2 linked regions of the Oryzias latipes genome follow. The protein of the gene in region 1 purifies or fractionates together with the protein of each later gene. This does not show direct contact. Links are inferred from orthologs where the notes say so. Each region holds a gene or a part of one and is shown in the gene's direction. Other genes may lie near its edges.

Region 1 (4,374 bases):
GGCCAAACTGTATCACTGCATGACGATTGTCCCAGTTTTTCGTCGGTGTTGTTGTCCTTTAAGTGCCTGTGATGCTTCTACAAAAACCTCCTGCTGTCAGAGTGCAGCACGAAGACCAGTTCCAGTCCAGGACTGAACGGGGACACTGCACCATCACAGGCGGTAGACAGCTGCGACTGAGTCGGGACTGCTTCTGAACGTGGAAAGGTTCTACTGTAGGGGTTCCTGGAAATGTCCACAATGTTTCTCCAACAAGATGTTTCCAAGCTGCCAAACAAAAGAAGCTCCAACATGTTTTAGGAACTATCTTCTTAGTTTTGCTCTGGTATTTATGTGTATGTTTGCTGTTGTTTTTTTTACATTCAAACTTTAATCTAATAAAGCTGCTCTGTTTAAAGGATGTGAGACCGTGAGTTTGATGTTTTCAGCTCCTTTGTCCAAGTTTCCAATCACTGTCATGCTTGTGTAAGCCAAACTCTGTCACTGCTGTTCTGTTTTTTGATTGTGTTTCACTTATTAATAAACATTCAGATTTGAACCTTGTCCTTTCAACGTTTACATAAAGATATCTGTGGCACCATCGGCTCGTTAAAAAGTCTCTCTGTGTTTTATTTCTCATCTCACTAAACTATGACACATGCAGAAACGTTTGTGAAAAAAACAGATAAAATCAAGTCTAGAACTTCAAAGTTTGGTTCAAAAATAGAACAAAATTGATTCAAATTCTTTGATGTTTATTACATTTGGTGAAATCAAGATTTTAGACTTACTTCAAAGTAAGTTTGTACTAGAACTATCATTGTGATATTAGGTGTTCTAAAGTTTCAAAAATATTTTAAATCCACAAACAAAATTTTTTCATTTCCTTCAGGCTTAAACAAATGTTTGTTGTTGTGACAAAGAGGAAAAAGGACTCGAGCAGTAAGATTTAAACATTTGTATTTATGAGCTTTTCATCAGATACTTTGTGTTCCATGTTGTACTCTGACAATATACAACATTTTATAAAAAATGACATTCTTACATTTCTGAAACTTCTGTGATGAAGCCGAGGTCAGCAGTTCCCATGAGGTTCTGTGTGTTCCAGTCACATCTGATGGCTGATCATGGAAGTTTGTGGAAACATTTACTGCTTTACTTATTGAAAGTCAGTAATTTAACATGATTTCTGTTAGTGATTAAATCTGGAAGCATTAAAGGTCCAGTTCAGAGTCGGTCTAACTGTAGTTAGACTGTAAGTCATTCAAATCTAGATTTATTTTATATTTCAGAAATATGGGAAAATGTAAAGTAATTACGTACATTTATATATAATTTTTAATTTATAGTGTGCTTAGCATTTTAATGAATCCTCGAGATGCAACTAAAACCAAAAACATCCAACAGTTAAAAAAATGAACTAAATTAAATTAGCATAAAATGCAATAATTATATAGTAATAAAGATAAAACATTTGCAAAAAGGAATGTTTTTGTTGTGAGCCTCAGCATGTCTGATGACGTAAGGCGTCAGCGAAGCACCCATTGGCCAGTTGAGGACCGGAAATTGACTCCGACCAGCTTCTTTCTGTGCTCCGTGGCATTTTGTAGCGGGACAGGCAGCAGCTGCTTCCCCAGCAAACACGCGGCTTTAAGGCGAGGAAGAGATGAAAGATAAAACAACCAAGTGAGTCATTTATTTTTTATTCAACTCTAGTTCATAAAAATGCTGTTTTTGACTATCAAAACATGCTAAACACATAGCAAATCTCCGTAGATAGCTAAGCTAGCTTTGAATTGTTCGGTGTTTCCGGTCGCGGTTTTTCACAATAATTTCACACTTCCTGCTGTGGTTTCTGATGGTTTATCGCTAATTTTTCACTTAAAGAAGAAAATAAACCCTCTGGAATTTGTGTTTAGTGAACTATCCTTCTATATACTGGAGATAATATTGTGATTATAATTATTTTTATGCTCAGCAAATGTCACGCTATTCAATCCGTGAGCTATTTGAAAACCTATTGAACTTTAAAGCTATAGCTGCTCTGCACAATTTAATAAAGAGCTTGACGTGGTGCAAACATGATTTCGGTTTAGTTGTTTAATTTTTCTGTCTAATAAATCAGCGAGACTAACGGTGATGATCCGGATCGGCTGTTTCACCGGAACCGAACCTTTGACGTTGATTTACGCGCCTGTGGCTCAGAGGACGGTGACGGTTTCTGAGCCCAGAACTGAAGCTGGGAGACCTTTAAACACAAAACCACTAAAGGGGAAAGTTATAAATCTTTAGACAGACTTCATTAAAAGACTTCTCTTTGTTTTGTTTCTCGATGTGGTGATTTATTCAACACTTTGCTGAATTTATTTTTGTTTAAACTAGTTTAGATTCCTGATGACATCGTTTGATTTATTTTTATTCCCAAAGCTGTTAAACTTTACGATCAGCCTCTCTGCCATGAAGCTCCGTTTGTTCGTATTTATTCGTTCATTCTCGTTCAAACTGAGTTTTTACATGAAGGCTCATGTTGTTGTTCGCACGTATTTGAAGTTGAGTCCCGTTATCTGTCACGCGCCCAGGTGCGTGAAATGTTCTTTGGTGGTTTAAGCGTAATCCTAACAGTAACTAAGTTCAGGTTCACCTGTTTCCAAAATGGCGTGTGAATTTTTAGCCGTAATAACAGTGAGTTTCTCAATATGAGAGCATATAAAAAAACGGTCTTCTCTTATTTTGTAAGGTAGACAGGTATACCGGAAGTTAGCATGACCATCTCGTAGCAGCTCGTGAGCCGCGGCGCTAGCTCTGCAGGTGGAGCTGATCACTCCTGTCGTTTATTTGATCACTAAAATAATAATTGAAAATGGTTGGACGTTGAATTCGTGTGAATTTCTGTTAGAATCCGGTTGTTTGTCAAAACGCTTCAGTTCTTCTGTTTCATTCTCATCTTTCAGTCAGGAGCACTGATTTCAGACCTGCTTCCTTTGTCTGATTGGCTGTTTCGTCTGCGTCCTGGATTCTCACAGGAGCCCCCCATGGAAGGACAGATGATCTTCAGCTGAAGATGACCTCCATGCATTTGCATGTCTCTCCTGGAGGCGCCTTGGGAGGATGTGAGCGGAGGACACGGGGATGAAGTCCTGGCCGCTCTAGTCTGATGAGGACGCCATGGCCCGGCGCGGGTTGCCGTTTCAGGGCCGGGTCCGCTGGCTCTTGTTGGGCCTCCTGCTGTTGCTGGTGCTGCTGCTGTTTGCCTACATGCTGGAGTGCACGCCGCCTGCAGACGTGAGCCTGGTTCTGCCCGGCCCGGACGGAGGGAACTATGGGAAGGAGTACTACCAGGCTCTGTTGCAGGAGCAGGAGGAGCGCCACCTGAGCCGGGCCTCCAGCCTCAAACGGCAGATCGCTCAGCTGAAGCAGGAGCTTCAGGAGATGAGCGACAAATTAAAACTTCTGCAGGACAAGAAGGAGCCCCCGGGAGTTCAGGCCCTCGGAGAGAATAAGGACCAGGAGCCGGGGGACCTGCTGGAGTACCTGCACTCCCAGATCGACAAGGCGGAGGTCAACGTGGGGGCGCGTCTGCCCAGCGAGTACGCTCTGGTGCCCTTCGAGAGCTTCAGCTCCTCCAAGGTGTACCAGCTGGAGATGGGGCTGACGCGGCACCCAGAGGAGAAGCCGGTCCGCAAGGATCGGCGGGACGAGCTGGTGGAGGTCATCGAGGCCGCGCTGGACATCATCAACAACCCCGACGAAGAGGACGGGGTGGAAGACGACGCCCCCATGCAGAGGCAGACCTACACAGACGCTCACTTCACTGAAGGTAAAGCTGTCAGACGGGGGCGGGGCTTCTCTCCTGGCTTGTTACTGATTGGCTGGTTTGCTCCGGCAGGACTCTACAGAACGGAGCGAGACAAAGGGACGCTTTACGAACTCTTCTTCGCCAAAGAGGACTCCAGCAGCTTCCGGCACGTGACCCTCTTCAGGCCGTTCGGCCCGATCATGAAGGTCAGGAGCACGTCTGTGGAGACGTCGGGAGTCATCATCAACATCATCGTGCCGCTGGCGGGCAGAGTCGACACGTTCTCTCAGTTCCTACATAACTTCAGGTGAGGACGGAGCCCCGCCCACAGCCAGCGGTCTGGTGATGTGCTGATGAGACGCCGCCTGTCTTTCAGGGAGGTGTGTGTGCAGCAGGACAGGCGGGTACATCTCACCGTGGTGTACTTTGGGCAGGAAGGCCTCCAGGACGTCACGTCATCTTTGGAGAAAATGTCCAGGTTGGTCTTTTTCCAGCTGCGAAGCGTTTCCTGGCGTCGGTCGTGACGTTTGCGTTCTGGCACAGAGAGGAGAGCTTCTCCAATTACACGCTGGTCCCGCTGGAAGAGGAGTTCTCCAGAG
Region 2 (4,221 bases), on another chromosome or scaffold:
TAAAATCCTTGAGTCAATTCTTACTTTTTATGTTCTGTTTTAGAGCAGAGAGTTTACTGAGAAATTACAAGCTGCAGCAGCAGAAGGACCTGATCTTTCTCGAAGACATAGGTAGGGGAATCCAACAAAGACCTCTGGACTTACTGAACTTAGATACAGCTGGGCTATGAATTTATGAATGAATGAAATATTTATTGTGTTTATATCAAGTAAATAAAGTATCTTTTTTTTGTAATCTAACAATGAACTTTTATTCAATAAACAAGTTTTAAAGCCATTCTCAGCTCAAACCAAATTCTTGACAAAAGAAATCTGCCTGATTATTAAAAAGCGCTTTCAAGTCGTGTTAATCAGATCCCTGCTGTTTGATTTTAGATGCGGAGATTTTGTCTCCTGGGAAGAAGAAGGTCCACTTTGCTGGTGAAAACATAGAGAATGAGCAGCCAGAGGGTCGCCAGAGTGCAACGTCTCAGGACTTGATGAAATTGAGACTGCAGGCTGCAAAGCTACGCGCCCAAAAACTCAGCGAGATGGAGCAAATGTGCCAATTCAAGAGCAGGCAGATGCTCGGCATACGCTGAGCGCATCCTGATGTTCTTCATGACTGAATTACAACTGGATTTTATGTTTTTATTTAATAATTGTTTGGCATTTTAGTGAAGCTAATTTATCTTGTGTATTTCAAGTTTTGTTGTTGCTCTCTTTGTTGTCCAACTATATTTTAAATGATTTATAGATTGTGTAAATGTCAATGGCAGCTGTTGAAAGTGTTAAAATAGTGTGCACATTATTGCTGTTTTAACAACCCTTTCATTAAAAAAAAAGATTTTATGAACCACTGTTGAAAATTAATAAACAAAAATGTCACAAATGGGTTTTTTATTTATTATGAACAGACGAATTCAAAGAGTAAATAAATGATTTTAAATGTTGCTTTGAAGCAATCAACATAAACGAGTTAAAAGAGAAACAGTAAATCTCATAGTCCAATGACAATTTAACGTCTGCTCTCCACGAGAGGTCATCAGTTTCTAATAAAAACAAATGTGAGTCCATCCAAATGAAGGAGTAAGCCAGGGTAGTTGTAGTGAAGCGTGCCTGACCAAAAAAAAAAAAAAAGGAAATGAGTTGTCGCGGGATTTCAGTTGTGGACAGCGTGCGTAGCAACCCTGGTTGTCCTGCTAAGTCACGCCTCCTACTTGCGTGATTGGTGAAATAGACCAATCACATGGGTTCTAGTTTTCCACTCACCAATGGGAACGGTGATGGGCGGGTCTTGCCCTTCGTGTTCCGTGTGAAAACTTTGCCCGGCTCGGGTGCAAAGTTTCAACCGTCTGCAAACTGGAAATCGTCGGCAGATGAGTCTGGAATATCCTGGAAAAGAACACGGTGTATTCACACGGTTACCAGGTTTAGGGCTTTGTGGAAAAATGTTTGCGGTGTTCGTTGGGTGTAGATGAGTGATGGTGGCGGGTGGTAGATAAAAACAGACCGGGAAGACGCAGTAGCTCGGATTTTATTGTCTGTTTGGAGCAGTTAGCTTAAACGTAGGTTAGGGAGCTAGCTTACCGTCGTCCCGGTGTCTGTCGTACATCTTAGACATTTTCTAGACTAAAACTTGAATTAAAAATACTAGTAAATTTATAAAATGGCTTGCGAACCCAACCGAGCGCGCCTGCTCTGTATGCTTTCACTGACTTTTGGCTTCTTCCTGGTGGAGGTGGTGGTCAGTCGCATCACTTCGTCTCTGTCGATGCTGTCGGACTCCTTTCACATGTTGTCCGACGTGATCGCGCTGATCGTGGCTTTGGTGGCCGTGCGCTTCGCCGAGAAGACTCAGGCCACCAACAAGAACACCTTCGGCTGGATCCGGGCGGAGGTGATGGGGGCTCTGGTCAACGCCGTCTTCCTCACGGCGCTGTGCTTCACCATCGTGCTGGAGGCGGTGGAGCGTTTCACCGAACCCCATGAGATCGACAGCCCGATGGTGGTCGCCGGGGTCGGCGCGGCGGGGCTACTGATCAACCTGCTGGGACTCTGCTTGTTTCATGGGCACGCCGGGGGAGGCCACGGCCACTCGCACGGGGGACACTCTCACGGGGGTAAGGGCAAAAAGGGGAAACATGGCAAGTCCCAGAAGGCCGGGAACGGATCTGCTGGAGAAGAGACCAACTACCTGGTGGGGAATCACACCAGCAACACCAAACCAAGCATGGGTATGTATGGAAACGTGCATTATATTTGACATGGTGGCGTTAACTGAGCCTAATCTTACTGTAAACAGCTCAGATTCCACCTTAAATCATCAGCTTTTCAAACAACTGCCTGACTAATCTGTATTGTGTTCTTGTCAGCTTCAGTCTTGACATTTATTTGTTTTCAAATGCATATAATTTGTTGAGTCACTACATCCCTGAAAAGTGTTGCGACACAAGCAAGACGTTTCTTGCTTTGTGAGAAGTACTCCTTTACCAAAGCTATCAAAACAACCTGGGATTTGTAGCCTTTATTTTGTGTTCAAAAAAGACCCCCTTCAGTGATGCTGATGACAGCCTCGCCTTCATGTGTTTCTATGAACACATCTTTTCTGTGCATAAGGATTTCAAAATAAGATTATCTCCTCCCTTCTTCATTCAAAGAAGGGTTAAAATCAAGTAAAGAACACCCTCCTCTTTTGTTAAGCCCTGCCAGTTTCAATAAATGAACCTTCATTTCTTCCACCCCTGTACACCGATTGCTATTAGTGGGTCATACATCAGAGACTCTGGGACTCGACAGCCCCGGACACATCATTAGTCCCTGATGAACGACCTGGAGGTGCCCTGAGAGAAACGGCTTCCTAAGCTCTGCCTTTTTGTTACTAAATCTGAATTAGGAAGACTCAGATGCCACATGCGAAGTTTGCTTTCTGTGTTTCACTGGTTTGCGCATGGCCCCGAGCTCTTGTGCTAAAGAATCAGTCACAAGGTTGAGGAGCCCTCTGCAGAAAAGCTGCTTTTGTTCAAAAGGGAAAACATGTTGGTTGATGTGATTGAACATATCACAGTGGACTAACGCAGATGTTGCATAGAACAACAATCTTCTTTAAACTCGCTGCTGGTATCTTGAGGTCAAAGTCTATGTGATTATGTAGTGTGACACTACAGAAGTCTAAACCTTCTTCTACGGTTGTTTTCTGCAGAGGTCAGCTGTAAAGACAGCACAGAGGTGCAGATGAACGGCAACACCCACTTCGAGGAGATGGAATCCGAGGCCGATGCGTCGTCGCAGCTCAACATGCGCGGCGTCTTCCTGCACGTCCTGGGGGACGCCCTGGGCTCCGTCATCGTGGTGGTGAACTCTGTCATCTTCACTTTCGTGTGGAAGCCCTGCGAAGGTCCAAGCTGTACGAACCCGTGCATCAACAGCCACAAGACAGACCACCGCCACATCAACCACACTCTAGTGGATCTGCAGGACACGGACACAAAAGCCGGGCCCTGTTGGGTGCTCTACCTGGATCCCACGCTGTGCATCATCATGGTGGGCATATTGCTCTACACCACCTACCCTCTGCTCAAAGAGTCCGCTCTCATCCTGCTGCAGACCGTCCCCAAGCAGATCAACATGCACCGCCTCAACGAGCGCCTGCTCAGCCTGGACGGCGTCCTGGCCATCCACGACCTGCACATCTGGCAGCTGGCAGGAAGCAGAATCATTGCCACGGCGCACATCAAATGCCACGACCCCACGTCCTACATGGATGTGGCCAAACGCATCAAGGACTTCTTCCACGACGAGGGCATCCACGCCACCACCATCCAGCCTGAGTTCGTCACCTTTAACTCCGAAACTCAAGGCTCCCAGTGCGAGCTTTCCTGCCGGACTCAGTGCGCTCCTAAGCTGTGCTGCGGACAGAAGTCTGCCAGTGACTCTAAAGCAGCTGCTGCCTCTGGCCTAGAGGTGATCAGCGAGGCTTCGGAGCAGGTTCCCAGCATTCAGGGGGGCCCTCGGACTGAGGCGGAGGTTGCTGTCACCAGAGAGGTGGAGTCCTCTGTGTGAGTCCGGGATTTCACATAAAGAGAGGCAGCAGGAAAACTACCACTTTGTGCTTAAGCATTACTCTCATTTTTAGAGGGTTTAATCACCCTTTTTCCCTTAAAATGACTTTTACTTTTTTATGACTTTTTTTTTTTTAAATGGTTGCTCCGACTTCACCAACATTCATCCATATGAACCTTA

Evidence for each region.
Region 2: the proteins of csgalnact2 (region 1) and slc30a1 purify together in Homo sapiens (co-immunoprecipitation; 3 studies listed by BioGRID and IntAct, counting the BioPlex papers as one, with this or other methods). This does not show direct contact. The link is inferred for Oryzias latipes from reciprocal best matches to the Homo sapiens genes CSGALNACT2 and SLC30A1.

The regions. Positions count from the first base shown.
Region 1 is NC_019873.2:29,899,148-29,903,521, reverse strand, and holds the start of csgalnact2 (chondroitin sulfate N-acetylgalactosaminyltransferase 2), read left to right. Parts: upstream 1-1,550; 5' UTR 1,551-1,665; intron 1,666-2,930; exon of another isoform or gene 2,931-3,002; 5' UTR 3,003-3,144; coding exon 3,145-3,796; intron 3,797-3,865; coding exon 3,866-4,082; intron 4,083-4,151; coding exon 4,152-4,253; intron 4,254-4,318; coding exon 4,319-4,374. UniProt on the Homo sapiens protein: Transfers 1,4-N-acetylgalactosamine (GalNAc) from UDP-GalNAc to the non-reducing end of glucuronic acid (GlcUA). Required for addition of the first GalNAc to the core tetrasaccharide linker and for elongation of chondroitin chains.
Region 2 is NC_019882.2:6,335,891-6,340,111, forward strand, and holds the start of slc30a1 (zinc transporter 1), read left to right. Parts: upstream 1-1,292; 5' UTR 1,293-1,648; coding exon 1,649-2,216; intron 2,217-3,181; coding exon 3,182-4,041; 3' UTR 4,042-4,221. Other genes in the region: serine/threonine-protein kinase Nek2, read left to right, coding at 44-111, 376-581. UniProt on the Homo sapiens protein: Zinc ion:proton antiporter that could function at the plasma membrane mediating zinc efflux from cells against its electrochemical gradient protecting them from intracellular zinc accumulation and toxicity.